7 linked regions of the Oryctolagus cuniculus genome follow. The protein of the gene in region 5 purifies or fractionates together with the protein of the main gene of each other region. This does not show direct contact. Links are inferred from orthologs where the notes say so. Each region holds a gene or a part of one and is shown on either strand. Other genes may lie near its edges. The genes, in order: SEC22B, SCFD2, NBAS, RINT1, STX18, SCFD1 and SNAP29.

Evidence for each region.
Region 1: the proteins of STX18 (region 5) and SEC22B purify together in Homo sapiens (affinity purification with mass spectrometry; 5 studies listed by BioGRID and IntAct, counting the BioPlex papers as one, with this or other methods). This does not show direct contact. The link is inferred for Oryctolagus cuniculus from reciprocal best matches to the Homo sapiens genes STX18 and SEC22B.
Region 2: the proteins of STX18 (region 5) and SCFD2 purify together in Homo sapiens (co-immunoprecipitation; 3 studies listed by BioGRID and IntAct, counting the BioPlex papers as one, with this or other methods). This does not show direct contact. The link is inferred for Oryctolagus cuniculus from reciprocal best matches to the Homo sapiens genes STX18 and SCFD2.
Region 3: the proteins of STX18 (region 5) and NBAS purify together in Homo sapiens (co-immunoprecipitation; 5 studies listed by BioGRID and IntAct, counting the BioPlex papers as one, with this or other methods). This does not show direct contact. The link is inferred for Oryctolagus cuniculus from reciprocal best matches to the Homo sapiens genes STX18 and NBAS.
Region 4: the proteins of STX18 (region 5) and RINT1 purify together in Homo sapiens (co-immunoprecipitation; 6 studies listed by BioGRID and IntAct, counting the BioPlex papers as one, with this or other methods). This does not show direct contact. The link is inferred for Oryctolagus cuniculus from reciprocal best matches to the Homo sapiens genes STX18 and RINT1.
Region 6: the proteins of STX18 (region 5) and SCFD1 purify together in Homo sapiens (affinity purification with mass spectrometry; 5 studies listed by BioGRID and IntAct, counting the BioPlex papers as one, with this or other methods). This does not show direct contact. The link is inferred for Oryctolagus cuniculus from reciprocal best matches to the Homo sapiens genes STX18 and SCFD1.
Region 7: the proteins of STX18 (region 5) and SNAP29 purify together in Homo sapiens (affinity purification with mass spectrometry; 3 studies listed by BioGRID and IntAct, counting the BioPlex papers as one, with this or other methods). This does not show direct contact. The link is inferred for Oryctolagus cuniculus from reciprocal best matches to the Homo sapiens genes STX18 and SNAP29.

What each region holds. Positions count from the first base shown.
Region 1 is NC_091438.1:50,431,445-50,435,317, forward strand, and holds part of SEC22B (vesicle-trafficking protein SEC22b), read right to left. Parts: intron 3,827-3,873; coding exon 3,666-3,826; intron 343-3,665; coding exon 196-342; intron 1-195. UniProt on the Homo sapiens protein: SNARE involved in targeting and fusion of ER-derived transport vesicles with the Golgi complex as well as Golgi-derived retrograde transport vesicles with the ER.
Region 2 is NC_091439.1:110,848,569-110,852,441, reverse strand, and holds part of SCFD2 (sec1 family domain-containing protein 2), read right to left. Parts: intron 507-3,873; coding exon 387-506; intron 1-386. UniProt on the Homo sapiens protein: May be involved in protein transport.
Region 3 is NC_091433.1:187,577,060-187,581,721, forward strand, and holds the end of NBAS (NBAS subunit of NRZ tethering complex), read left to right. Parts: intron 1-3,663; coding exon 3,664-3,939; 3' UTR 3,940-4,063; downstream 4,064-4,662. UniProt on the Homo sapiens protein: Involved in Golgi-to-endoplasmic reticulum (ER) retrograde transport; the function is proposed to depend on its association in the NRZ complex which is believed to play a role in SNARE assembly at the ER. Required for normal embryonic development.
Region 4 is NC_091434.1:138,816,931-138,821,239, reverse strand, and holds the start of RINT1 (RAD50-interacting protein 1), read left to right. Parts: upstream 1-1,377; 5' UTR 1,378-1,537; coding exon 1,538-1,570; intron 1,571-1,926; coding exon 1,927-2,038; intron 2,039-2,431; coding exon 2,432-2,616; intron 2,617-4,309. UniProt on the Homo sapiens protein: Involved in regulation of membrane traffic between the Golgi and the endoplasmic reticulum (ER); the function is proposed to depend on its association in the NRZ complex which is believed to play a role in SNARE assembly at the ER.
Region 5 is NC_091433.1:4,725,563-4,729,435, forward strand, and holds part of STX18 (syntaxin-18), read left to right. Parts: intron 1-2,377; coding exon 2,378-2,493; intron 2,494-3,873. UniProt on the Homo sapiens protein: Syntaxin that may be involved in targeting and fusion of Golgi-derived retrograde transport vesicles with the ER.
Region 6 is NC_091443.1:44,680,947-44,685,392, forward strand, and holds the start of SCFD1 (sec1 family domain-containing protein 1), read right to left. Parts: upstream 3,148-4,446; 5' UTR 3,071-3,147; coding exon 3,013-3,070; intron 1-3,012. UniProt on the Homo sapiens protein: Plays a role in SNARE-pin assembly and Golgi-to-ER retrograde transport via its interaction with COG4. Involved in vesicular transport between the endoplasmic reticulum and the Golgi.
Region 7 is NC_091452.1:29,626,582-29,630,454, reverse strand, and holds part of SNAP29 (synaptosomal-associated protein 29), read right to left. Parts: intron 3,589-3,873; coding exon 3,392-3,588; intron 1-3,391. UniProt on the Homo sapiens protein: SNAREs, soluble N-ethylmaleimide-sensitive factor-attachment protein receptors, are essential proteins for fusion of cellular membranes.

The sequences.
Region 1 (3,873 bases), on a different chromosome or scaffold from region 5:
GGCTGGGACTTTATACTATTAATCACGCTATGAGAAAAATAATCAGATTGGAAGCTTTGTAAAAATCTATTTTTTGAGACACGAATTGTTAATAGTCCTACATAGAATCTGACAGCATAAAAGGTATTGCAAAGTGAACTATCCTTGCTCATGGAATAACTACCTCTTTGTAAGATTCATCTTAATCTTAGATACCTGAGAGTGCTTCTCCTCGTTGTAATACTTCTTCAATATTGGCCACCATGATCCTCTGCACATCTTGCAATTCAGTGTTGATGGAGCCTAGGTTTCTCCGAGCACGACTGTCAATGTACAGCTTCTTGGTTTTCTGAATGAAGGTATCTAGATTGATGATGAAAGTTACCATTAACAATTTCTCTCATGTATAGCAAAGTGCTGAAGTAGAGAACTGGATGTTCTGAGTTTATTTCTGGATCTGCCATTGTCTATGGCTAACCAAACTCTGGGAAATATCAAAATCTTGACTTTTTTCCCCCCTTATCATTAAAGATAGGAAGACAGATAGAGGATGTCTTTATGTATTTGTTTATCTGTAAAACACATTGACAGAGAGAGGGAAAAAGAGACAGAGACAGAGACACCTTCTATCTGCTCTTTCAGTCCTCAAAAGCCTGCAACCACTGGACTCAGTCAGACCAAAGCTAAGAGTCCAGAACTCCATCTGGGTCTTGCACACAAGGGCAAGGCTCCAAGTACTTGGGCTATCATCCAGTGCTTTCCCAGGCAGCAGGTAGCTGAATAGGAAGTGAAGCAGCCAGAACTTGAACCAGGCATTCCAATATGGGATGTGGGCATCCCACGTGGTGGCTAAAGCTGTTGCATTGCAACACCTACCTCAAAATCTGGACTTTAACTTCCTCATTTGTACCATGTAAAGATAGAACCAGGTGACCATTCAGAAAAAAATGTCCTTTGGACACTATGAATTCAAAGTATCTGCTATCAGAATTCTCAGAAAAATTAAGACCCATGGGCCCGGCGCTGTGGAACAGCAGGTTAAAGCCCTGGCCTGAAGTGCCGGCATCCCATATGGGTGCCAGTTCTAGTCCGGCTGCTCCTCTTCCGATCCAGATCTCTGGTGTGGCCTAGTATATGTACTGCCGAAGCGAGCACTCTGCTGTGGCCTAGGAAAGCAGTAGAAGATGGCCCAAGTCCTCAGGCCCATGTACCCGCGTGTGAGACCCGGAGGAAGCTCCTGGATCCTGGCTTCGGATCTGCGCAGCTCTGGCCATTGTAGCCATCTGAGGAGTGAACCAGTGGATGGAAGACCTCTCTCTCTGTCATTACCTCTCTCTGTAACTCTGTCTTTCAAATAAATTTAAAAAATCTAAAAAAAGAAAAAGAAAAAATTAAGACCCAATACAGTAAGCCTTTCTTGCAAGCAGAAATTTTCAAACTATATTTGGAGAATACTTAGGGCTTCATTATTTAATTCTACACTTTCCCTGAAAGGTTGCTAACACTCTAGTATTATTTGAACTTAATATGGTAAACGAGTTTATAAGCATCCAAAAAGGTGAGAAGCAGGACAATCATTCGGCCTAGTGGTTAAGATGCCAGTTGGGCCGGCGCTGTGGCTCACTTGGCTAATCCTCCGCCTGCAGCGCTGGCACCCTGAGTTCTAGTCCCGGTTGGGGTGCCGGGTTCTAGTCCCAGATGCTCCTCTTCCAGTCCAGCTCTCTGCTGTGGCCCAGGAGTGCAGTGGAGGATGGCCCAAGTGCTTGGGCCCTGCACCACCATGGGAGACTGGGAGGAAGCACCTGGCTCCTGGCTTCAGACCGGCACAGCACCGGCCGTAGCAGCCATTAGGGGAGTGAACCAACGGAAAGAAGACCTTTCTCTCTGTCTCTCTCTCACTGTCTGTAAGTCTCTCTCTGTCTCTCTCTCTCTAACTCTGCCTGGAAAAAAAAAAAAAATGCCAGTTGGGACACCTGCATTCCATATTGGAATGCTTGGGTTCATTTCCTGGTTTGTTCCCAGGCACATTAGCAGGGAGCAGGACCAGAAGCAGAACAGCCATGACTCAAACCAGCGCCCAAACAGGAATCCGGCACTGCAGGTCATGGCTTAACCCACTGCACGGCAGCGCTGGCCTGGCTGGGCACCTTTTATCCGCCTCTTTAGATCTCCTCTCCACTCTTTTCCACTTTGCTTTCTGGGAAACTGACCTGAATGGGCTCCTCACCCTTAGCCTTCAGTTAGGTTCAGAGACAGTGAGGAAGTCCCAACAGCACGGAAGGAGGAGAGCAGACAGTGAGCTCCTGGCTCCTCCCTAAGAAGTGACTTTGGGCTGGCAAAGCCAAAAGTTACTGCTTCCCTCGAACTGGCCTTCTCTGTAAATTTTCTCCTCCTCAGTTTCTGAATTTGGTTCTTCCCCTTATAACTTCAGGTCTACGGATAATACAACCACAGGTGCATGGTACCTTGGGATTCCCCTACAGCCCATTCTTTTTTTTTTTTTTTTTTTTTTTAATTTGACAGATAGAGCTAGACAGTAAGAGAGAGAGACAGAAAGAAAGGTCTTTCTTCCATTGGTTCATTCCCCAAATGGCCGCCACGGCCGGCACTGCACCGATCCAAAGCCAGGAGCCAGGTGCGGATTAACCAAGTGAGCCACGGTGCCGGCCCTATCCCCTACAGCCCATTCTTATCTCTGTATATAGTTCCCTTATGGTCACTGGCATATACCACTTACAATCTCCCTCGGGCATTTGTCTAATTTTTTTCTTCGCTTTACTGGACTATATTATTACCTAAAAAATAAAATTTGAAAAACTGAACACAATATAAATTAGCACTTGGAAAATTTAGTTATAGAAAACTAGAATACTTTGCTAAATTTTCTCTTTCTGAAAAGCAAATGATCCATATACTAACAAACCTGAAACACGTCAGGGAGTATAACTAATTTCTTTTTTAACTAAAATTTTCTGTGATGTAGCCTGATCCTACTTGTTCTCACTCCCTGTACTTAGTACAGTTAAGACATTTTCTGTGATCTATTGCCATCAGTTACTTGACCCAGGTATTATTGGTGATGAGTCCTTTTTTTTTTCTTGTTAATTTAAAAGGCAGAAGAAACCTAGAGAGAACAACAGACATCACCATCTTCTGGGTTTTGTTTTGTTTTTTTTTTTGAATAGAGGATCTTATTCTACTGTAAAAAGCAAAATATAATTCTTTCTGATTTCTGCATTCTGATCTCCACAAAATGAACCCCAATGTTAATATACAGGGGGGCCGGTGCTGTGCCACAGCTGGTTAATGCCCTCGCCTGCAGTGCCGGTATCCCATATAGGTGCCGGTTCTAGTCCCAGCTGCTCCTCTTCCCATCCAGCTCTCTGCTTTGGCCTGGGAAATCAGTAGAGAATGGTCCAAGTCCTTGGGTCCCTGCAACTGCGTGGGAGACCCGGAAGAAGCTCCTGGTTCCTGGCTTCAGATCAGAGCAGCTCCGGCTGTTGTGGCCATTTGGGGAGTGAACCAGCGGATGGAAGACCTTTCTTTCTGTCTCTCCCTCTCACTGTCTGTAACTCTATCTCTCAAATAAATAAATTTTAAAAAAATGCATCAATATTGTGTTAGTGTAACAAATGGCTTCTTCATATCGTTTGCTTCCTTTTGACAAGTCAGGGTCAAAAACTTACCAAATTCAATAAAGGAGTAAGGTCTAGACACAGTGGGCACCTTCTTCCCATGCTGTTCATCAAATTCTGAGTGCAAATCTTCTAGGTAGGCAAAAGCCAACTTCTTAGGAAAGGCAGCCTCACACAAAACCAAATAACACACTCCCTGTTCAATAATGTAGCTGGAGAAACAAAAAAGAAACACAAAAATCATTTTTAAACAGTAAGT
Region 2 (3,873 bases), on a different chromosome or scaffold from region 5:
AGGCCTGGAGAGCTGCAGGTCCCTTGGGTACTTAGTGCTGACTGGACAGCACAGAGTGTGCACCGGGCAGGAGAAAGGACCCCGCCCAATCCACTTTGCCAGCAATGACTTCTACTCAGGGCTCCTCTGCTTAGCGCCAGCGAATTCGGCCTGTCAGGATGGACACCGACAATCCAGTCCCCTCTCACGGTGGGCAAGGGGTCTCCAGGGGTGCCAGGCTGGGCCTGAGAGCCAGGAACAGGGAGAAGGTGACCGGACAGCCGCGGGTGGAGGGGGCGCAGGCTGGGAGAGGAGCGCTGGGGCCCTGGGCGAAGGGCCTTGGCCCACCCTCCCCACAGCCGCCCCTGGCCTCTGGATTCCTGCACACATCGTCACGAGCTCAGTACCTGGCTCCCGGGCTTCAGTGATGCCACGAGGTCTTTGACCATTTTGGCTTCGGAGACTGTGACCCCGCCCACCACGAAGAGGATCAGCAGGGGATGGTCACTGGGATGGGGCCGGCTCACCTGCAAAACCAAACACGCCAGCATCAGAAAGATGGCATAGGTGTGGCCGCGGCAGCCCGTGACATGGCACCGGGGGGCCCCAGGGAGCCTCCCGCCCAATGCAGGTGACCCCGACAGGGGCCATCGTTAGCAATCCACTCTCCCTCCACCCCACCCCGCACTGTTGCAGACGATCATGCCACGCTCACGTGCCAGATTCGCTTTTTTTTCCGCTTGCGTTTCCTTGGAGATACGCATCGAAACATGCATCTGTCACAAGCATGCAGACTCATTTTCCCAAAGAGCACAAACCCGAGCCACCAGCCGCAGGTCAGGGGACAGGAAACCGGCCCTGTGGAGCCCTCTCCCTGTTTCAAGGTCGCCACCATCTTGCTGTCTAGCAGGCATTGGCAGGGGCACACCAGTGGGCTCTGGTCTCCGCCCTGCCATCACACTGAGGTCGAGTCACGTGGCACCTCGGGCGTCCTCCGTCCCACCTTTGCAAAGTGCCCCCCACGTGTCCCCGGACGTGGCGAGTCGGGGCCTCTGCTGACCCCTTCTGCCAAGCACCTCGAGCTCCTGCGCCCCGCCTGGCTCCCGCCCTCCTCAGCCCTGGCCTTGCAGAGGGGCCTGCTGCCCTGGGCAGCTCCCGGAGGGCGCGGGCAGGGCAGACTTCTCTTGCTGTTCTCCATGCCGATCTCAGTGCCGGGCAGGAGGCAGCTTTTCAGGAAGTGGGGTGAGAACAAGACAGAATGGAGTGAGGCAGGTCCCGGGTCGACAGGAAACCAGCCTTCCCCTCGCAGGGGCGTCTGGGAGACTCTGTCGGCTTCACGCGACTCTCCTGGCTGAGGGATGGCCCCAGAAGCCGGCCAGCCCTGCACGCCACTGCTGCTTCTCACCGAGAGCTGGGACAGGACCGCAACCGGCTCCCCATGGTGCATGGCGCAGTGCGCTCCCAAAGACACACGTTTCCCGAAGGAGTCTGCAGCCCAACTACACTCCCAGCCTTGGAGGGCCGGGCTGGCCGATGGAAAGGCGGGAGAGAGACAAACACACAGCAGCAACCAGCGCCAGGCCCGTGGCTGAGGGCAGCGGGGCCCCAGGAATGCCTTCTGGGGTCGGCTCTGTGGCCCCGAGGGCGTGTGAAGTCGCGAGTGCAACACCCAGTCTTTTCTGTGGGAAATCCAGGTTCCTTCCTGCGTGGCTGAGCCCACCTTAGGCAGGCCCGGGTGACGGGCACTGCAGACGACTCGCATCAGGGCTGTCACAGACAGCGAGTCGGGGCCTCGCTCTCCCGGTCTCCCAGGGCTTTGCTGAGAACATTCACTGCATTAGTGTCTCCTCCGTCCCATCCCAGCTTGGCAGAGGTGCGGGACCCTCTCCGTGGGCGTGGGCGTGGGCTCCCATGAGAGTGCCCGGAGGCCCTGGTGGAATCTGTCACCTGGATTTGGAGGGAAGGGTCCCTGCTGCTCCCACGGGCACCAGGACGGGCACTTCCCTGCCACTGATCGCTTCCAGTCGACGGCTGTGCTTCTGATCCATTCACGCTGTCGACCGATAACTTGCAGCGCAGTTCCTGGGGGCCAGGGACTCAGCAGTGGACGGAGCAGGCGGGGAGGACCACAGGAAGTCACTGCTGCTGTAAGCCATGTGTGGGAACTCCTGCTGGGGCGGGGAGGGGGCCAGCGTCCAGTGCTCGGAATCTATCAGCAGGTAGGGGCAGCCTCGCCTCACAGGGACAGACATGGAGGCTCGGGGCTGACGCGGCTGTCCGAAGTCCCTGGGCTGCAGAGCTGTAGGCCGGCGCTGGAGCCCGGGTCTCTCGGCAGAGCCTGGCCGGGGCCACCTGACGGTCTGCACGCTGCCATCAGGAAATGAACTCTTGCAACATCTGCACCAGCGCCCGTCTCTGAAAACTGTGAGCGCTCGGTTCTCTGCGAGCAGCAGCCGAGCGCCGCCGGCTCCTCCGGGGGCGCGCCCACCCCGTCACACCGCCCGGTCACACGGCGGGGGTGCCCGGCTGCCAGGACGCCCTGCCATGCACCTGTGTCCTGCTGTGATGCCCCGCCCACCACTCGCTCCATGGCTGCCCTGGACCATGGACGCCGACCCCTCCACAGCTCAATGGCCCGCACACGCCACACAGGCCCTGTGTGGGTGTGGTCACGGGTCCCTCAGCTCAACCAGCCTCAACGGCAAGTTCCTTCTTGTCCATCCAGACAAGCGTGGACGCCCTGCACCCCCGACCAAGTGATGACCTCCTCTCATTACTGCCTCGCCTGCTCTCTGTGTGCCCGGGGACCGCCCCCCTGCCCTCGCTGCCTCCGCCCTCCCCACCTTCCCTGCCACCCTGATGGCCGCCTGGCCCCTGTTCCCCTCACCCTGCTCCAACTCCTCCCGGTCTGGTGAGTCCAGCCCCTCCTCCCTGGCCCCTCCCTGCGGCCCTCCATCCCGCTCCCTGGCAAGCCGTGGGCACCGTTCACCACCACGCAAATGACAGACCGCCAAAGCCAGGCTCTGTTTCTGTTTGACCCTCTGCACCAAAGCCCCTCCCACCAGAACCGCGGGGCGGACTTAATGAATGCCAGACACAGAGTGAACCCCACCTGGCAGCACCAAGGGAAACAGCAACAGTGGCTATAAATAGCGCTGCAGGCGACATCCAGGCCTCGCTGATTGCATCGGCAGAGGTGCATGCTGGGACGCTTTCCTCTGATCAGACCCTGTCCTGAAACAGCACAGCCCCAGGGTCCCGTTTCATGTGTGAACGAGCAGCCGCACTCCGTGACCTCCGCGGTGTGTGCACCTCTCCCCGTGCAGGGGTCTCACACGAAACCCGTCATTTCCACCAAAAGCTTCCCCCAGCCCTGCCGCAGAGCCCGCGGTAGGCGGTGGTGCACCCCAAAGACAGCAGTCTCCCCTGTGCACGTGGCAGCCCCTGGCCGTGGTGAACCGGTCCGGACACGGGGCTCTGAACCAGGCTGGGCCGACCACGGACCCATCACTGGCGCCAGGTGAGGCTCAGCCAAAGCTGAGTTCGAGAGGAACGGCGACTCGGCCAGTTGCTCGGCTGCTACTCCCGGTCCCCGCACGTCCCACGGGGTGGCCTGTGAGCCGGCGCCGAGGCCCCGAGGGTGCTGCGTGGAGAGGGCCTTGGCCCGGGCCCCTGGAGCAGGAACGGATCCTGGCAGCTGCTGCAGAACACAACACGTGTTCCTTCCTTGCTGGCTGCCCTCTGAGCTGGGCCACCCAGGAACCCCAGCTCTGCAGGGCCGAACGGAGGGAGACACGGCGGCTCGTGCTGGCCCAGGGACTGCTTCAACTCCTGCCGGGGCAAAGGCCGCAGGGGGAGAGAGGGGCTTCCGATCAGAGGGAGGCGCAGAAGCCA
Region 3 (4,662 bases), about 180 Mb from region 5:
TGCACTCTGTTCTCTGCTGAAGGCTTGGGTGCAACGAGGCTTCATTTCTCCTGGGCAAACTAAAATAGCAACACAGACACTAACTCAGATGCCTCACACGTGCATGTTTGGGTGTGTGGGTGTGGGTGTGCATCTGTGAGTGCAGGAGGAGGCGGCAGTACCGAGGGAAAGAACACACACTTCGCTGTTCTCCATTCACTCTTGTATTTGCCCCTCGAAGCCTGTTGTTCCTAGCCTGTGGTAAGACGATCCCATTTCTCTGGTACATAGTGTGAGCTTTTTTGGAATCTTTAGTTTTGATCAAAAAGAAGAAAAATGGAGACAACTGGACTCTGACACGGTCACTTGCAAACTGGCACTGTTTGCCCTCATTACACAGTTGCACCCACATTCATATTCAGAGCCAAAGGAGGCTTCAGATCCCTTACCTCATGTGCTAGCTTTGTAGGCTGCCTTAGCACCGTGCACACACCTGGTGGCTAGACACCCCATTCTGGTCGTGGAGGATTTGGGTGAGCTGAGGCGGCCAGGTCTCTGCTCTTGAGGAGACCACGTTCTGGGGGAGCAAACCCTGAGCAAGTCAAGTAGTGAGAGGCGAGGCTCCTGACATAGCCACATGGCATTCCATGGGTGACTTTGATCTCATCGAGAAACTGTCTGAAAGCTTGGCCAGGATGTGCCCTGCAAAGCCCTGGAAAATGGGAGGTGAGCAGCAGACACTTAGGGAGGGCAGGGCTCTGTGGGATGGCCATTCTTGTGTTCCTGGAACAAAGCACGCAGAACTCCTGGGCGGTGCCAATGGGGAGTACTGAAAGCTCTGTGCCTCTTTAATCGGGAAAGCTGGAATTTTGCATCAGTTGCTATTTTTCCCACCTAGTTTTTAAAACAAAACAAAATTGAGTTCAGCAAAGTGTCTTCCTGGGACCGAAGTAGGTGAGTTGCGTATGCCTGTGTCCATAGAAAGAAGACTCTGAGGGAGGCTGGGAGCCACCTCAGTTCAGGACAGGTCTAGCTCTGTTCCTATTCTCTGCAGTGACACAGCCATCATCGTGTACTTGTGCCATTTACCAAAACGTGACAAAGTTTAATAATGTAGGTTGTCGCTCCCCCTCTTCATGGAGGAACGACACAGGACCCTGTGCTGTTCTTTCGTCTGCTCGGCCCTCCCCGGGTTTGCTGCTGGTTCTTCCCGGGTTGGCTACTATCCCTTCCACCTCCGTGGAAGGGCAGTTCCCCCTGGCCACATTCCCCACTTCTGCAGGGGAGCGGCACACCGCCGGCCGGCTTTCTCGGGGGCTGCACAGGTGTTCCTTCAGCTAGATGTTCCCCTTAGGTGTTCCTGGTGCATGCCGTCTCTCTCCTCCTTTATAGTCCTCCTCTGCCAATCCTAACTCGGCTGCCCACACGCCGAGTACGCTGCTCTCCTCCAATCAGGAGCAAGTCCTACAGTTTATTAGCTGAACTGGAGGCAGCTGTGTAGAAGCTGTTTACTTCTCTCCCAGCGCCATATTGTGGGAGAGCAGATGCATAGAATAAGTCTTAATTCCAGTAACTCAGTCCAGTCCGGATTGCTCCCCACATAGGTTCGTTCAGCCATGTAACAAATGGTGACTAAACTGGATGCTGAAATAGAGAAATGATAAGTTTCGTTTCCTTCAGATTCTCTTAGTCTGACAGAGGAGAGAGAGATAAAATCACTACAGTACTGCCTGAAGAGACATCCATTGGGCTCGTTACACATGCGTACTCTTGAGACTGATGGAAGGCGGTATCAGTTTGGCCAGGAGGATTAACAATGTCACCAAGAAGATGGCATTGAAAGCCGATGTTTCTGTTGGGTTTTGAATGATTCCTGGATTGTAGGAATTATACTATCTGCAAGTCAGAAGTAACTTTGGAAAAAAAATTATTTGAGAGAGAAATCTCCCATCCATTGACTGAATCCACTGCCCCAGGGCTGGGACAGGCTGCAACCAAGAGCCAGGGCTTCAATTCAGGTTCCCCACATCGATCTGACTACTTGAGCTGTCACCTCCTGCCTCCCGGAGACACATTAGTGGGAAGCTGGAGTTGGGAACAGACCCAGTTCTTGAACCAGACATTCTGATGGGATGCGGGCATCTCAACAACATCTTAACTGCTATCCCTGCCCCATGAGTAGTAACTTTTATTCTCAGTACTTCTGCTTAAATTATTTTTTTAAACATTTATTTTATTTGCAGTGCAGAGTTACAAAGAGAAAAGGAGATAGAGGGAGATATCTTGCATCTATTAGTTTACTTCCCAAATGGCTGCATTGGCTGGGGGTGGGCCAGACCAAAACCAGGATCCTAGAACTCCATTCAGGTATCCCATGTGGGTGGCAGGAGCTCAACTACTTGGGCCATCCTCTGCTGCTTTCTCAGGTGCATTAGCAGGGAGTAGGATCAAAAGTGGAGCAGCCAGTACTTGAACTGACACTCATGTGGGATGCTGGCATTGCAAGTAGCATTCCAACCAGCTGTGCTACAACACCAGGCCCTTCTGTTTAAATTCTTGCAGCCAAAAACACAATTGGCCTTCTCATCTTTGCCAGAGAACAGGCGGGAAGAGAGCATCATGTACAATTGTAAGGTATCACTGGTCTAAACATTAATTAGCTTTGAAATGCCACATTATTTCTAAGGTTCCTACAATCAAATTATTAAAAATACATAGTGACATTAGGAAGAGCCTGTCATGAAGCAGTTTTGTCACAACTCAATGTAGATGAGAAGCTCTGAATTTTGGTATGAGTATTGACTTGATTTCTTACAAAAACATGGACAATTTTATAAAATAAAAAATCTAAATAAGATATCCAAACCATGGAAAAGCACACATAGACATGAAGATAAGACCAGGGAGAAGGAAAGAATAGAGGATATGCAAGCTAAAGGAGCCTATAAAGGCTTTTTAAAGTCGTGCAGTTGGTGCTGAGCCTCAGAGAGAGAGAGTGGGACAAGACCAGCGCAAGCCCACTGTTGCTACTCCTATTATGTAACTGAGTTGCAGGACACATTCTTTTCTCAGTGGATTAGAATAAAGGTTGTCTTATTTTGGAAAGAATTTTGTTTCATGTGGATCTACATTCAAGAGAGATTTGGGGTTAAAGAATATAGACCACAGTGAAATGACAAATGACGTGGCAATGTGGTGGTTACGAGTACTGGCTTTTCAGTCAAGACTGACCCAAACTCAGATTCTGGCCCAACAATTTATGACTTCAGTGTTCAACCAGATTCTCACACCTTGGCTTCCTTACGGTAGAACTGAGAGGTAAAGGAGCCGGTTTCACAGGCTTGAGTTGGGAAGGCATGAGTCATACCTGTACAGTGTTTAGCACCACCGTGTCTGGAGCTGAGTATCTGGTAGCTGTAGCGGTGATCCAAACAGGCTTCTTGGTACATGGCTTGTCACCTAATGTCCAGAGGAAACCTTGTCTGTCCTGCATGTCTGTGACCCCAGAGATGCTCACACCTTACATCCACTTTTTGGAGCAGATGCTTTTAAACCTGGACAGAAGTGTGTTTGATGATGGAGAGGAAAAGGCAACACATCGCAGCCCAGTAGACAGTGATGAGTCTGGGGGAGAGGAGGCTAAGCAGATGCCCTCTGATGTTTTGCCTGTCTTATTCCTTAAAGGTGAATGATTCAAACTGTGACCAAGAACTACTTTCCCTGCTCCTGGATGCCAAACTGATGGTGAAGTGCATCTCCACTCCCTTCTATCCGCACATCATTGACCACCTCTTGGCCAGTCTGCAGCAAGGGCGCTGGGATGCAGAGGAGCTGGCCAGACACCTGCAGGAGGCCGGCCATCAAGCCGAAGCCGGGTCACTGCTTCTGGCCGTGAGGGGGACTCATCCAGCCTTGAGAACTTTCAGCGTGGCCCTCAGTGCCGGACAGCACTGGGTGTGAGCCGCGCATGTTCCTGGGAGGAAAAGCGCGTCTGGAGCTGAACGCTGCTCCCAGAAGCAACGTGTCTACCTGCTGACTGTTCTCGGTGGTTCCAACAAACTGCAATAAAGCTGTACGTAAATGATGAGCAGACTCATTTTTTCAACTTTGGATTTCTCATATACTGACAGGTTAACATGCTTCCTTATTGACTGGCTCTTTTGTTCCTGTGTTGCTTTTCTTTTAAAATACCCTTTCTGGATAGAATTCAATTAATAAACTGTCAAATACTGCAGTTTAGAAGATTGGGTGGTGGTGGGTAGGACTGGGTGAGAAAGGGAGAATGTGTGATGGCTGGTGGTTGTGCAGGTGCCCTTAGGTGGAGGAAGGACAGACTTGGATTCGAGTCTCAAGTTACCTCTGTGATCTTGGGCAAATTATCCCACCCCCCTCTGAACCTTAGACTATGGTGTATAAAAGTAAGGGTGTATTATTCATCTCACAAAGTGGTTGAATGTTTTGTCAGGTTGTGTGTGTGAGGTTCTGTTAGATTCACAACAGGGACCCAAAAAATCTGAATTCTCTTCCTCCTTGCTAGTGTCCCAGTGTGTGAATTTTGGTAAGGCCACAAGTGATCAGTACCAACAGGTGAAACCTAGTGGAGATGGAGGCCTTCACAGTGGACCAGCAGCAGCTTGATGAGGCTGATACATTTGCCTGTCTGGATGGCTGTCTAGGCAGGTG
Region 4 (4,309 bases), on a different chromosome or scaffold from region 5:
TGGCTGCTGGCTTCCCATCCAGCTCCTTGCTAATATGCCCTGGAAAAGCAGTGGAAGACAGCCGAAGTCCTTGAGCCCCTGCCACCTATGTGGGAAAGCAAAATGGAGTTCCTGCCTCCTGGCTTTGGCCTGATTCTCCCAAGGCTGTGGTAGTCAAAAGGGGAGTAACCTAGCAGATGGAAGATTCTGCTACTCTGCCTTTCAAATAGCTAAATCTTTTTTTTTTTTTTTTTTTTTTTGACAGGCAGAGTGGACAGAGAGAGAGAGACAGAGAGAAAGGTCTTCCTTTGCCGTTGCTTCACCCTCCAATGGCTGCCGCGGCCGGCGTGCTGCGGCCGGCGCACCACGCTGATCCAAAGGCAGGAGCCAGGTACTTATCCTGGTCTCCCATGGGGTGCAGAGCCCAAGCACTTGGGCCATCCTCCACTGCACTCCCTGGCCACAGCAGAGAGCTGGCCTGGAAGAGGGGCAACTGGGACAGAATCCGGCACCCCGACCGGGACTAGAACCCGGTGTGCCGGCGCTGCGAGGCGGAGGATTAGCCTAGTGAGCCACGGCGCCGGCCAATAACTAAATCTTAAAAAAAAAAAAAAAAAAAGTTGCATTTTGATGGAAAAAAGTTTTGAAATCTATGCACACATTAAAAAATACCATTAATTTTCCACGAGTTTTTTTTTTGTTTTTGGAAGATTCCTCCTGGTTTGAGTATATTTAGTTTTATTCTCACTGAATGGCTTCTGTTTTCCTAGGCTTTCTGTTTATTCTTATTCTCCCTCCCCTCCTTTTCTTGTCTATTTCGGTCTTTATGGTACCACTTTACTTGGCAGTTTGTTTCTGAGATTGTCAAATACGGGGGCCCATGCCTTACTTCCCGCTAACTCTTGTTCCTCCTCCTTAGCTGAAGATAGGGCTTATTTAGGGAGTCTGGACTGAGCACGGGGCTTGGTGGGCGCTGAGTCCTCTTCTTCATTCAGCAACCAGAACGCTGACCATCCAGCCAGGACATTGGAGAGTGATCCTTAGGGAACTGACCAGCGGTAAAGATCTAGAGATGGTTACATTCATCGGCAATCCCACAATTAAATAGGCGATAAAATACACCTACCTAGTCACTGCCGCTCACCAAGCGCACTCATTTTCAGAACATCTCGATGTCGTCTGAAGCATAAATGTAAATGATTCACTTTGAATTTATGCCGTGAAAGAAGGAGTACCTTCAAGATCCACAATGAAGAGCTCCAATGCTTAGAGAGAGGGGGTACGGGCCCAGCCTTCTCTGGGCTGCCTTGGGGGCGGGGGCTCTCTTCCTGGGCCGCAGTTCCAACCTCCGGCCTGCAGGGGGAGACGGCGCTCAGAAGGCTGCTCGCGGGAAGGACCGCTCTGGCCAAGAGGAAGGAACCCGAGAGAGGCGAGAGGAAGTCGCGGTGTCACCAAGTCCCTTAGCCGCTGAGGCGCGCTGGTTTCTGTCGCTGACCGGAGCGGGACTCCACCAGCCACGCTGGCTGCGAATGGAGCCGAGGACTCGCGCGGAGGCGGGATGCCCCCGATCGGCGATGCGCCGGGAGCTCCGGTGAGTCGTCTCTGGCGACTCGGGGAGGTGACACAAACCTCCCGGTTGTCTTGGTGAGGTGGCGCTGGAGGCTTGTGAGGGTGGTTCCCGCGGCGCAGGTTCGAGTCCCTCGCGGCATTCCCAGGGGTCGTGGTCCCAGTGAGATGACTGATCTCTCCAGGGAGGTGGCTCCGGTGGCCGGGCGAGGGTGGCACAGACTCCTGGGAGGGGTGGCACCAGGGAGGTAGCCCTTTTTCGAAACCTGTATCCGACCGCCCTGGGACTTTGGGCAGATCCCTGTCGGTTCCTTTGGGAGCCCTGTGTTAAGTTCCATCTGCTCCTTTAACGTCAGTGTTTTTGTCACCTTGTTCTTCCAGTGCTGCCCTGAAAGTGGCGCAGAAACGGAGAGCATCGTGGAGGAGAGCAAGCAGGCTGCATCCGCCGTAGCGCTTTGTGTCCCGGCGTCTCTCCCAAACTCAGCCTTCCAGGGTAGGCGGCAGGGAAAGGCGATCTTAGCCTGTTAGCTTTGAGATGAGCTGTTTCTGCGCACTATGCTTATGTAGTACCAAGTATTAACTGGTCTTATATGTGTATGTTTGTCTACAATTGTATAACACGGGTGCTCTCCAGAAGGGCCAGAGCCGGGAATCGAACCCAGGTATTGCAGCGTAGGACGCAGCTGCTAAACTCCCAGGCTACACACCTACCCTCAAAGGTTTTGTTGCACCACAGGAAACTTTTCATTCCATTTTTCCATGAACTTTTTCAGATACCTATATGTATGTAGTATGTTCTTCCATTATTAACTTTTGTATGTTTTTATAATTCCTTTAATTCCCCAGTCCTTAATGGTGTTGAGTAATTGTTATTCTTTTATTTTAGGTGACATAAATAATGTAGCTCTTGTTGAAAGTGAACATGTCAGTGAAAATATAGATAATAGTGAGCTTTCGGCTTACGTGTCTGCATTCATAGAAAAGGAAGTTGGAAATGACCTTCAGTCTTTGAAGAAACTTGATAAACTCATAGAACAAATGACAAAAAATAAAATACAGTTAGAAGAACAGGCAAGTATAATATATATGCATCTTTATTAATATAAACATAGCTAATATTGTGTATAAAATTGTGAAGGTATAGATTGTGACATTTTAAACTGCTTAATGAGTTTTCTTCCCACTCCCTGCTTAAAAAGTTTTTTTTTGCTCAATAAGCTTTAAGGATTTACAGTGTGCTATGTATTTTATAAACTATATAAAAGGGTTCTTACTGTATGATTTATGTCTTTAAAAACGATAACATTTTCATGGCTTTTTATACAGACTTAGAGACTGCTTTAAAAAAAAAAGATTTATTTATTTACTTAGAAAGAGTTACACAGACAGAGAAAGAGAGGCAGACAGAGAGAGAGAGAGGTCTTCCATCCGCTGGTTCATTCCCCAGATGGCTGCAACGGCTGGAGCTGAGCCGATCCGAAGCCCGGAGCCAGGAGCTTCTTCCAGGTCTTCCATGTGGGTGCAGGGCCCCAAGCACTTAGGCCATCTTCTACTGCTTTCTCAGGCCATAGCAGAGAGTTGGATTGGAAGTGGGCAGCTGGGTCTCCAACTGGCGTCCATATGGGATGCTGGCACTGCAGGTGGTGGCTTTGCCACAGCGCTGGCCCCAGAAACTGCTTTTACAAGTAAATTTATGGTAAACAAAAAAAGTTTAAACACCATCATCCCAAATTTTTATAAATGCACACATAGAGGAGAAACATGAAAAGTGTAACATTATAATGGTTTCTTGTAGGTGGTTGGTTGACAGGTGATTTTTTTTCATTTTATGTTTTATTACATATTACTTAAAAGAATTTTTTAAAAACCCAATGAATGTAATCTTAAACAAGTAAGTCCCTATACTTGCAATAATGTCTTTGTTAAAAGATTGTTATTGTGTAACCACCAAAGTAGGTTAAAGTAAGCTCTGTGGGAAGTGGGTATATTTTCTCCAGGTTGTCAGTCCTCTTGTGTTCTCCCATCCAGTCACCTTGGCCCTCCACATCTTCCTGTCTTTTTACCACATCTACTCCACTGCTAGTTTCAAGATTTTGCTAGGCCCTGATGGCCTTTTCTGTACCTGTAGGCAGGCTGTTGTGAGCCCCGTGGGAGGAGGTCACCCATGCAGGGGGAGGGATGCCACCCAAATGTCCGGTTGCCTTCCTGGCTGAGTCTTCAGCCCCACCTAGTGGTCCTTCCGTAGGAATGTGGGCCCTCTGCTGCTCCCCTCAGCTGTGCTTCCAGATTTTCCCGGAGACACTAGAGCTGGCCATTCTGCCCTTTCCCTTTCCCACACAGAAAATACTGAGGCATCTCGCATGAATCGGTCTCCCCCACATGGCACAAACCTGTTTGTAAACATTTTTACCTCTTAATTCAGTGGAAGCATCAACCTAAAGCTGTCTTTGTGTCTCAGCTCATGCCTGCCACCTTAGCGGACTTAACATCACTCCTCAGCCAGTCCTGTTCCCTCTGCTTATGGACATACGCATGACTTTTTCATACAACCCAAACCAACAAGCAAAACTTTCCTCTCATCTTTCAGTGGGAGCTGGCACTTTCCTTTGACTGTCAGTCTGAAGAGTCATCATGTGTCTGCCTTCACTTTCTGATTTGCCATTCGGTCTTTGACTCCCTGTAATCAGGCTTGTTTCCCTACAGACCACAGAAACTTATGCCAAAGTCCCTCATTGAACCTTTAATCCAGCATGTCCACAGCCGT
Region 5 (3,873 bases):
CCCTAGGGGAGTGAGGGAGTAACACACGCACACAGCCCCTAGGGGGAGTGAGGGAGTAACACACACACACAGCCCCTAGGGGGAGTGAGGGAGTAACACACGCACACAGCCCCTAGGGGAGTGAGGGAGTAACACACGCACACAGCCCCTAGGGGGAGTGAGGGAGTAACACACGCACACAGCCCCTGGGGGGAGTGAGGGAGTAACACACGCACACAGCCCCTAGGGGGGTGAGGGAGTAACACACGCACACAGCCCCTAGGGGGGTGAGGGAGTAACACACGCACACAGCCCCTGGGGGAGTGAGGGAGTAACACGCACACAGCCCCTAGGGGGAGTGAGGGAGTAACACACGCACACAGCCCCTAGGGGGAGTGAGGGAGTAACACACACACACAGCCCCTAGGGGGAGTGAGGGAGTAACACACGCACACAGCCCCTAGGGGGGTGAGGGAGTAACACACGCACACAGCCCCTGGGGGAGTGAGGGAGTAACACACGCACACAGCCCCTGGGGGAGTGAGGGAGTAACACACGCACACAGCCCCTAGGGGGAGTGAGGGAGTAACACACGCACACAGCCCCTAGGGGGAGTGAGGGAGTAACACACGCACACAGCCCCTGGGGGAGTGAGGGAGTAACACACGCACACAGCCCCTGGGGGAGTGAGGGAGTAACACACGCACACAGCCCCTAGGGGGAGTGAGGTTCCCACAAGCACCACTCAGCAGACCAGCTGGGCGAGGAAGGAGATCTTCCACATGCCCCACTGTGCCCTTCAGCTGAGGGCACCTTTGGGAGAAGCCCCGTGCCAAACCCTGCCAAGCTGCTCCCCAGGCCTGACCCCTGGCACCAGGTAGTGAATATGTGTCCCTCCAGGGTCTGAGTCGTGTTAACTGTGCCGCAGGAGCATTAGGAAAGAGTGGTGCGATTGGAGCTCCGGAGCACTCTCTGGGCAATGTAGAGGAGCAGGTCCCAGACGTCCTGGCCTGGAACGCCAGTCTCAGAAAAACCTGACAAAGAAGGCCGTGCATGTGGGTTGTTTGGAAGGGACTTCCTTTTTGGAAATTCAGACGATTTTGGCCTAGACAAAGACTTGTCTAGGGAACACCCACCTGGCGTTGGCGATCTCTCTCAGATCTGCATGACCACAGAAGCCCTCCCGTGTGGTGCGTGGTGATCAGACACGGCTGCGTGGGGCAGGGCCTCAGCCCATGCACTTTGGAGCTGGGTCCTGTCCTGTCCCAGCCCAGCAGGTGCTGTGAAGGCTACCTTAGAGGGAAGTTTTGGAGCCAAATCAATGCAGTGGTATAAAATGCTTAGAAAGTGCCCAGTGCATAGTGCCCTCCAGAAATGCCGGCTGGCATGCGCCATGCTAGCGTACATTCTGCTTGGATCTGTGTGCCTGACAGTCAGAGCTTCTTTACAGGTCTTTTTACACTTTTCTGCCTGTGATTTTCTCGTTATGTTGATTCTAGTAAAGCTATTACAGAGCCCTCCGTTTCATAACCAAATTTTTTTCTCTCTTAGTAGCCGTTTACAGATATTTGTAAAGCACTCAACATACAGCTCGAATGCCAGGGACTCATGCAGGACGCAGGGCTAAGGAGCAGACATGACTTAGGGAGGCAGAGACCTGCTCTCAGTGCGGGCACTCAAGCGAAGGAGGCAGTGAACAGATAACGGGGGGTGACAGACCACGGTCACGGCTGTGGAGAGAACCAGCAGGTGCTGGGGAGAGAGGGGCCCTTCTCAGGTAGCAGTCAGTGGGCGAGCCTGAGCCAAGCCCGCAGCCAGGAGGGAAGACCCAGCACCGCCCCGCAGCAGGAAGAGCCCTGTGGGAGGGCGAGGGCCAGGCGCGGGCAGGAGCTGTGGTTCCCGAGCCAAGCGGGTCTCACTGAGTGGCCATCTGAGGGCTAACACGTCCTTGGGAGCGTCACACACAGCGTGCATGTGGAGATGCACACGTGTTGACAGCACTCCTGCTTGATTGTGCCAGTGTGTGGCTGTAAATCCAGCTTTCTGGACTTGTTGAACCCGGGCCAGTCAGCCTTCACCACCCTGGGCTGAGACAGGGGTCAGTCTGTGGGGCACGGTCAGCACTTAGCCACTGCACCCTCCTCTGAGGTTCGGCGCCACCTGGGCTAGGAGCGCTGAGGGATGCTCAGCCCCGCCCCCGCCCCCACCCCCGCCCCCGCAGGCAGCAGTAGCTGCTCCTGCAAACAGGGCTGTGTCCACTCGGCCCCGGGGCCCAGAACCAGCGACTGCTCCCCAGAGGACATGGAGAGCAGACGCAGGGGCCACGTGGGACTCCCTCTCTGTCAGGAAGCAGGCCTGTTGTGAAGGGAAGGCGGTGACTGCTAATTATTATTTGCAGATCTAAGCTGGAACCAGAACCAAATGTGAAAACAAGAGAAGCCATCTCTTCCGAGAAAGCGTCACCGAATCCTTCAAAGGACTCTGGAGAGAAGCCTGCCTCTGAAGAGTTCCCAGGTACGAGCTGAGACGCACACCTTGGGCCGGCACCGCGGCTCACTAGGCTAATCTTCCGCCTGCGGCACCGGCACCCCGGGTTCTAGTCCCGGTTGGGGCGCTGGTTCTGTCCCGGTTGCTCCTCTTCCATTCCAGCTCTCTGCTGTGGCCTGGGAGGGCAGTGGAGGATGGCCCAAGTGCTTGGGCCCTGCACCCGCATGGGAGACTAAGAGGAGGTGCCTGGCTCCTGGCTTCAGATCAGCGCAGCGTGTGGGCTGTAGCAGCCATTTGGGGGATAAACCAACGGAAGGAAGACCTTTCTCTGTCTCTCTCTCTCACTGTCTAACTCTGCCTGTCAAAAAAAAAAAAAAAAAAAAAAAAGCACACCTTGCCTCGTGACACGTGGGCACCAGGTACAAAGCCGGACACAGCTCATACCTGTATACGCAGCGCTGTCACAGCCTGCAGGAGTCGCCTGTCCACTGGGAACCGGGAGGGGCCCGTGGGAGCTGTGTATTGGCCGGGTGTGGACTGGAGCCTCTGACTCAGGAGGAGAGAGTGGGGCGCTCTGCTCAGGGAGGCCCCGGACCTGTGTCGGGGGGTGAAATGTGAGTCTGGGGTCCCGTGCTTACGTCATCCCCGAGACTACAACAGTTCTGACACACACAGGCTGCCAAGAAATACAGGACTCCACCAAGGCAGCTGTCATGGGCGCCGGAGGCTGTGTGTGCGGCCAGTTCCCCTCCGCCACGTGGGGAGAGCCACCGCAGCTCACCGGCTGAGGCGTGGCCGGGCAGGGTCTGCTCTAGTGGCTCATGGGCGGTGCGCTGGAGCAGGAGAGCTGGGCGTCCTCTCCAGCACCCTCCCCTTAGTGCGCTGTGGCCCTGCTCACTCCTGCCTCCGACCGCGGGATCGGTCCTGCGCGCTCGCACCTTGTCACCGTCCTCACAGCAGCCCCGTGGCCGAGATCCGTGAGCCTCCTTCACAGATGATCCTGCGCAGCCCGGGGGCTGGGCAAGCCGCCTCATTTCAGAGCCCTGAGTGGTGGGCGCGGGGTGTGTGTGGCTCTGTGGATGCCCAGGCTGCCCTCCAGCTAACTGATCTGCGTTTGACAGTGAACTCTGTGCCTCATAGCGTCTTTTAAGATGTATTTGTCTATCTGAAAGGTGGAGTTACAGAGAGGCAGAGGCAGAGAGAGGTCTTCCATCTCCTGGTCCACTCCCCAGATCTCCTCAGTGGCTGGAGCTGGGCCAATCTGAAACCAGGAACCAGGAGCTTCTTCTGGGTCTCCCATGTGGGTGCAAGGGCCCAAGGACTTGGGCCATCTTCTGCTGCTTTCCCAGGCACACTAGCAGGCACACTAGCAGGGAGCCAGATAGGAAGTGGAGCATCCGGAACTCA
Region 6 (4,446 bases), on a different chromosome or scaffold from region 5:
GTGTGCTGATGGCTATAAGAGGGATGGGAGAGGAAAGGAGGCGGAAGAAGCAGCTTGTTCAAGGTTCCTGAATAAACTGCTGGAAGAAGAGTTCGGGTCGTGTCTTCCTTGCTGGTCGAGGGACGCGACATACTGTTGTTTGGTAAAATGTAAGCACCTAATGTTCAGTCAATAATAGCTGTTGACATGAATATGGGGTACATAGAATTCAAAAGACAGGTCCAGACTAGAGAGAGAAACTCAGCAATCACTGGCACATACAGTACTTAAAGTGAAGGGGCTAGATGAAATCACTACAGCAGAGAAGGCCAAACAGTTTGGGGTTCTGCAACGCTGAGAGCTGGGAGAGATAAGCAAGAACCTGCAACAGTAACACAGGAGGAAACAACTGATTCTGCCTGCTGAACTTGAAGAGAGAAAAGGGAGTGATCCTGAAGCTTTCACAAAGGAGATGGCTTTGGAATAGGTGATTTTAAAACATCAATAAAGATTGTTCAAGAAGGTAGAGCCAGAAACAAGTATGCTAGCCAACCTCTCTGTACCTTGGCTTCCTCATCTGTAAAACAGAAACAATACATATAAAATCATCAAACATAGTACCTGGCAACAGTAAATGCTGAGAGGTAGTTGAGACACCTGTTTGGACATGTGTCCATGGTGCCTGGGTCCGAGACCTGGCTCTACTACTAATTCCAGCCTCCTGCTAACGCACACCCTGAGCAGTAGCAGGTGATGGCTCAAGTTGTTGGGTCCCTGCCACACTCGAGGAAGACCTGGATTGGGTTCCAGCCTCCTGGCTTTAGCCCGGCTCAGAAGCAGCCACTGTGGCTGTGAACCAGCAGTTCTCAATTAATACTAAATGCTCAACATACATCAGTTATGCTCTCATTTACTCAAATTGATTGCAAATTCCTTTGTTATCAATTTATCTCATTTCTAGAATACATCATGTGACTTATTTGCCAATTTTTTTTTTTTTTTTTGACAGGCAGTTAGACAGTGAGAGAGAGAGAGAGAGACAGAGAGAAAGGTCTTCCTTCCGTTGGTTCACCCCACAAACGGCCGCTACGGCCGGTGTACTGTCGAGCCGAAGCTGGGAGCCAGGTGCCTCCTCCTGGACTCCCATTCGGGTGCAGGGCCCAAGGACTTGGGCCATCCTCCACTGCCCTCCCGGGCCACAGCAGAGAGCTGGCCTGGAAGAGGAGCAACCGGGACAGAATCCGGTGCCCCAACCGGGACTAGAACCCGGTGTGCGGGTGCCGCAGGCAGAGGATTAGCCAAGTGAGCTGCGGCGCCGGCCCAAAACATTCTAAATAGGCAAACAAATGTTTACTTCTGACACCATAACACATACAGAGATTTCCCTTCTCCTGAAAATGAGATGTCAGTTATAGTACTCATTTGATGAGTAACTGATCTAGCATGACCTAAATCTTGCTGTAGTGAAGTTTATTTTTGTAGAAATCCAATCTTTAGTATTAGATTCTAATATTTCACAGAATTTCTGTACACAAAAATGCAATGCTATACAAAAGCTTCAAAAATTATCATATTGGTAGTCTCACTGACACATTGTTTCTTTAATATGTAATATGAGTTTATTTAGCTTTCTTAAGCTATCAGGATCATAATGATAAGTGGATCTCTATTTGTTTACAGAGAGAAAACAATTAACAGCTATTTCTCAAGTCTTATCTGGACATTCCTACATTTAAGTTATGCTTGACCTCATCAGATAGGTCCTACTAAAATTATATGCTGGGAAAAGCATGTAACACAATTCCTTACTTAAGTCAATCAGTTTTTCTTTTAAATGACAAAGGAATGAAGTGCAAGCCAAATCCCTCTGTAGGTCCTATTAATGATCTCAGGAGCCACACTTTCCAAGTATGCACATTCTTTTAAAAATACTTATGTATTTTCATCTACTTGAACACGAACACACACACGTGTATCTTTCATCTGCTGGTTTATTCCCCAAATGCTTCCAACAGCTAGGCTAAAGCCAGGAGCCTGAACTCCATCCCTGTCTCCCTGCAGGTGCAAAGGGTCCCAGCACTCAGCTATGTACTCCTGCCTCCCAGGATGCTTGTTAACAGGAAGCTGAGTCAGAAATGGAGCAGCTGAAACTCCAGCTAGCCGGGAGAGCATTCTTGATGGCTGGTTTCTATAAGCGCCTCAGAGCGTGACAATTTTCAAGACAATTAGCTAACAGGTGCAAAACATTAGCTTGTAGCTAACCGGTGTATGCTAAGTTACCATCAAAACTTTACAAGTAACAAAACTAAAAATATCTAAGATTAAGAGAAAATCAAAACGCAGGAATAGATAGTCTTTTCCTTACCACACCTCACTGCATAAATGGAAGTTATATAAACATGCAGTATTGAAGAGAAAACCAGTAATACATTGTTTTAAAACACTAACCTGTCAAACAACTACAGTGGGAGAACTATGCATTTGCTTTCCCATTCTTCGACCTCTCCGCAAGCTGAAGGAAATCTTTATCCCCAGGAAGTTTTCCTCAGGTATTCCCAAAAGACTGGCCCACAGGAGAGAAGTCACACAAAGTAAGCCGCTCTTAAAGGAATACCTGAACTCTTTCCTTGCGCTGGAAGCGCCACTGGAGCGCCTTCAATAGTAAGACTGAGGAATGAACCACGCACACAAACCCAGACACTTCAAAGCTGGCAACACAGCAAAGAAAACATCAGTTGCTAGATCTTGTCTAGCCTCTCGAGGTCCAGAAGGAAGGTGGCAAGCGCAGCACTGTGACAAGAGCAACGGCTCCAGTCCTGAAGCCCCGTCCCCTGCTGCACAGGTGAAGCACTGGGTGCTCCGGCTAATGCCAGCTTTCCCCAAAACTCGAAGGGGAGGAGCTCTGGATGCTCTGGTTTGCTGGTTTAAACTCCTAGTGACCAGTCTCTGCAGCACGCGCCACGACCGAATAAGGGTACATGCACAAGACGACCCCGCGCACGCATGAAACTGCGGGGAGAACGGAGTCAGTACCTGTCTGCCGCTCCCGAATACTGGACGCTGACGCCGCCGCCATCTTGCCTCCCACCATCCACCGCTCGGCTGGCAAGCGGATCCCGAGGATGACGTGGCCACCCCTAACGCCCCGGAAGCAGAGCCCGGAGGGGCGGGACGAAAGGCGGTGCTGCCGGCGGGACCCCGCCTCTTCCGGGCCACGCTCCCACGCCACCACTCTGTACTTAAACTTTGCATTTCCAGCGTTGATTAGCGCTTGAATTCACTGGTTTTACTCTCCAGCTGCAGAATAGTAGGAATTTCTAACCTAACCAAGCCGTATGCTCTCAAATGATATCTACTCTAAACTGAGCTCAGGGTAGGAGCGTGGTGTAGTGCTTAAATACTCGAGTCAGCCTCGTCCTTTGAAGAGGTTTTACCTTGTGGTAACAATCTAGCGTATAGGTATGGGCGTGATGATCGCAGGATGGACTAAAGTAAAAGAAGCTTCTGAAACAAAGTAGACCTAAACGTTAGCTTTCTCGTTTCCGGGTGTAGCAGCAGCAATCTTCCCTTTCCTTTTTCAGCAAGTTTTGGAGCATGGCTCTAATTTGGCAGTTTTCTCAATCTCTTCTTTTAGATAAAATGGCCTACCAGTGTGGTGGAGATTTGCCTCCATAGGCACAGGAGCCGGGAAGAGACAGAACAAACAAACAAAACCACAGCAAACTCTCATCTTTGCTTTCAGTAATTGCAAACTCACAAAACATTACCTTGAGGTGGAGGGTGGGATACGAATTGTGGTACAAGCTTTTGAATGCACACTTGAAGCCATGTGATCACAAAATGTATTCAATATGGATTGCTATGACCCCTAGATTTTATTGGGTGTCAAAAACGGATGCATTGACATTTCCCATGTTCAGTAGAATTCATTGATGACATAGCATCAGCTGTCGAACGTTAATTCTGAAGTTGCATCAAATTCCAAAATCACTATGCCTCAAAAATTTAACTTTCAAAATTATATTATCCTAACAGAAAAAAACGTTATTTATACTCTGTGATGAAACACTAAACATCTGCTTCACAAATAAGTTACTTATTTATATGACATTTAAAACAAGTTACCCTACTTTTAAGTTAGTATTGAATCTACATTATCTGATTATTTCCAATTGGCATAGTCATTAACAAATTAACTAAGATATGTATCGGTTTTAGTGTTAATACTATTTAAAAGACATTGTGAATCATCTAGGTGTGTTTTAATTCAACAGAAATGTGAGTTCCTGCCTATGGAAAAGTTCTGTTTTCTTCTGTGGACTCCATGGAATGTAAAATATACAGCCTTTCCTCCTTCCAACATCTGAGAGGTCAGTCTTTAATTTGGCATATTCAAATGCCTGTCTTCTATCTAACCACGTTGGTTCCATCACAGACTCCATCTCAAGGCCACTGGAGTCATATTAA
Region 7 (3,873 bases), on a different chromosome or scaffold from region 5:
GGCTTTTGTAGCAGAATTCGGGGCTGTGGAGGCCTCCAAGATCCCTGGGAAGCAGCCTGTGTAAAGAGGCACATGGGACAAGGATGGGTCCAATCACCAACTCGCCAGCTTTCTACTCCTCCAAGGACTTGCTCAGTTCCTGGGTTTGTGCAGGGAGGCTGTCTCATTCTAAACTAAATGAGGGGCTGACGCTGTAGCGGGTGAAGCTGCCATCTGCAGTGCCCGCATCCCATATGGGCGCCAGTTTGAGACTCAGCTGCTCCACTTCTGATCCAGCTCTCTGCTGTGGCCTGGGAAAGCAGCAGAAGACGGCCCAAGTCTTTGGGCCCCTGCACCCACAGGGGAGACCCAGAAGAAGCTCCTGGCTTCTGGCTCCGTATCACACAGTTCCAGCCATTGCAGCCATCTTGGGGAGTGAACCAGGGGATGGAAGATCTCTCTCTCTCTGCCTCTCCTCTCTGTGTAACTCTGACTTTCAAATAAATAAATCAATCTTAAAAAAAAAATAAACTAAATGAACATCCTACCTTTCCTGTGGCACAGGTTGAGCATCCTAGCCTGAACACCTAAAATCCTAAATGCTCCAAAACCCTAAACCTTTTTAGAAAAAGATTGATTTATTTATTTGCAAAGGTAGAGTGGCAGAGGGAGAGGAAGAGATTTTCTATCTGTTGGGTCAGTCCTCAAACGACCAACAATCAGGGCTGAGCCAGGCTGAAGTCAGGAGCCAGGCTCTATGTGGGTCTCCCAGGTGGGTGGCACAGACTCCAGTACTTGACTCGCTGCATCTCTGCTGCCTCCCAGGAGCATTAGCAGGGAGCTGGATCAGAAGCAGAGCAGCCAGGACTTGAACTGGTGCTCCATCATCGGATGTAGGTGTCCCAAGTGTGGCTTAACCTGCGGTGCCACAACTCCTGCCCTGCCCCCAATCTGAAACTTCTTGAGCGCTGCTGAGTTTTAGATCTTGGAGCATTTTGGAATTAGGAATGCTCAATTGGTAAAGTCTATGCAAATATTCCAAAATCCAAAAAAAACTAAAATCTGTAACACTTCTGTCCCAAGCATTTCTGATGAGGGATACTCATCTATAATTAAAAGCAGCCAAAGAAGGCCGGCGCCGCGGCTCACTAGGCTAATCCTCCGCCTAGCGGCGCCGGCACACTGGGTTCTAGTCCCGGTCGGGGCGCCGGATTCTGTCCCGGTTGCCCCTCTTCCAGGCCAGCTCTCTGCTGTGGCCAGGGAGTGCAGTGGAGGATGGCCCAAGTACTTGGGCCCTGCACCCCATGGGAGACCAGGATAAGTACCTGGCTCCTGCCATCGGATCAGTGCGGTGCGCCGGCTGCAGCACGCCAGCCGTGGCGGCCATTGGAGGGTGAACCAACGGCAAAAAAGGAAGACCTTTCTCTCTGTCTCTCTCTCTCACTGTCTACTCTGCCTGTCAAAAAAAAAAAAAAAAAAAAAAAAAAAGCAGCCAAAGGAAAACCCAATTCTGTTATGAGAAAGAGTGACAGGGATTTAAAGTTAGGGTCGGGGCCGGCATTGCAGCATAGCAGGTAGGGCTGTCACCTGTGATGCTGACATCGCTTATGAGTGCTGGTTTGAGTCCCGGCTCCTCCACTTCTGATCCAGCTCCCTACTAAAGCACCTGGGAAAACAGCAAAGATGGCCTAGGTAATTGGGCCCCTGCACTCACGTGGGAGACTCAGATGAAGTTCCTGGCTCGTGACTTGAATCTGCCCCAGGCCTGGCTGTTATGGTCATCTCGGGAGGGAACCAGCAGATGCAAAATCTCTGCTTCTGTCTCTCCCTCTTTCTCTCTTTGTAACTCTGCCTTTCAAATAAATGAATTAATAAATCTCAGAAGTAATTAATTAAAATCAGGGTCAAGCTGGAAAATCTGCGCGAAGTGGTGGTTGGGCCTAAGCCAGACAAATCAACCCTGGTGCATCTACGGGAGTAGCCCCAGGGCATTGCAGAGGCCTGCTTTCCTCCCTGCAGTGTCCGATCCAGACGCCCGGAGCCTCCCCCACCTCTTCTCTCTGCTACCATTACTGGCTCTTTACCAACATTCCTTTCTTCCCAGACCCACTCAGCTTCAGGGAAGACTACAGCCCGATACAGCAGAGTGCTGGTTTGAGGACCAGCTCCTCTGCTTCAGGTCCAGCTTCCTGCTGAGGCTCCCAGGTGGCAGCAGACAACGGCTCAAGGCCTTATTGCTCTGCCACCTCTGTGGGTGATTTGTATGGAATTCCTGACTCATGGCTCCAGCATGGTCTAGCCCTGGCTGTTGTGGGCATTTGGGGAGTAACCCAGTGGATGGAAAAATCCCTCTATGCCTTTTGTATTATTTTTTAAAATATTTGTTTTTATTCATTTGAAAGAGAGTTATGGAGAGACAGAGAGAAATTTTCATCTGCTGGTTCACTTCCCAAATGGCTTCAATGCCTGGAGCTGAGCAAATCCGAAGCCAGGAGCTTCTTTCGGGTCTCCCACGTGGCTACAGGGGCCCAAGGACTTGGGCCGTCTTCTACTGCTTTCCCAGGCACATTAGCAGGGAGTTGGATTGGAAGTGGAGCAGTCAGGATTTGAACCAGTGCCCATATGGGATGCCAGTGCTGCAGTCTGGGGCTTTATCCTGCTGTGCCACAGTGTCTGCCCCTGTATCTTTTAAGTAAATGAAAATAAATAAAAAAGTGAAAAGCAATGGGCAAATTGAATTATATGTAGAACACCTGGGTGGGAAAAATGACTTTTTAAAGTACAGATACTGCTGGGGCCAGCTCTGCAGTATAGCGGGTTAAAGCCCTGGCCTGAAGCACCGGCATCCCACATGTGCGCCAGTTCTAGTCTTGGCTGCTCCTTTTCTGATCCAGCTCTCTGCTACAGCCTGGGATAGCAGTACAAGATGGCCCAAGTGCTTGGGTCCCTGAATCCACGTGGGAGACCCAGAAGAAGCTCCTGGCTCCTGGCTTTGGATTGGCACACCTCTGACCATTGTGGCCATCTGGGGAGTGAACCAGCGAATGGAAGACCTCTCTATCTGTCTCTACCTCTCTCTGTAATTCTGTCTGTTAAATAAATAAAATAAATCTTTTAAAAAAATAAAGTACAGATATTGTGTAGGGAGTCCCTTACAGCCTGATCTAACTTTCTGAGGTGAACACTCTCAGTACTGGGGTGACAATCAGTATAGCAGGAATTTACTGGAAACCCAACTTATGCACAATCTGCAGACTAGGTGCCAATCAAATACATATAATCAGGCGTGGGAAGATGGGTTAACACAAAACCCTCCTGAAGTATAACTTACAGGCTTCCTGAATCCCCTCATGGCTCGGCCAAGGCCTGGAAGTCTTCCGTTCACGCCAAAGCCCACTTCTGCTACACTCACCTGCTGTTGGGCTGGGGGGTGCCGGTGCCATTCTGTTCAGGGGCCGCCTCTGCGGGTTTGGATTTGAAGTAATTGACAAGGCCCCCGAACATGCTCTTAATGCTGTTGATGTGCTTCTGGCTGGTCTTCAAATCTTGGTCCATCTTGTCCACCATCTTCTCCGTGCGTTCTAAGACTCCTCGCTGACGGACGAGCTCCTAGGAAAGACACGTGGCAGTTATCCTTCTGGTAGTTCTCCCTGGCCCATGAGAACCACATGTGGGTACTCCATAAATGCGAAGCACATGTCGGGGCAGACGCTGTCACCTGTGAAGGGCACGTCATCATTTTTTGCTTAAAAGATTTATATTATTAATTTGAAAGGCATAGTTAGAGAGAGAGTGAGCACTTCCATCTGGCTGGGTCACTCTCCAAATGGCTGCAACGGCTGGAGCTGAGCTGATCTGAGGCCAGGAGCTTCTTCTGGGTCTCCCACTGGGTTG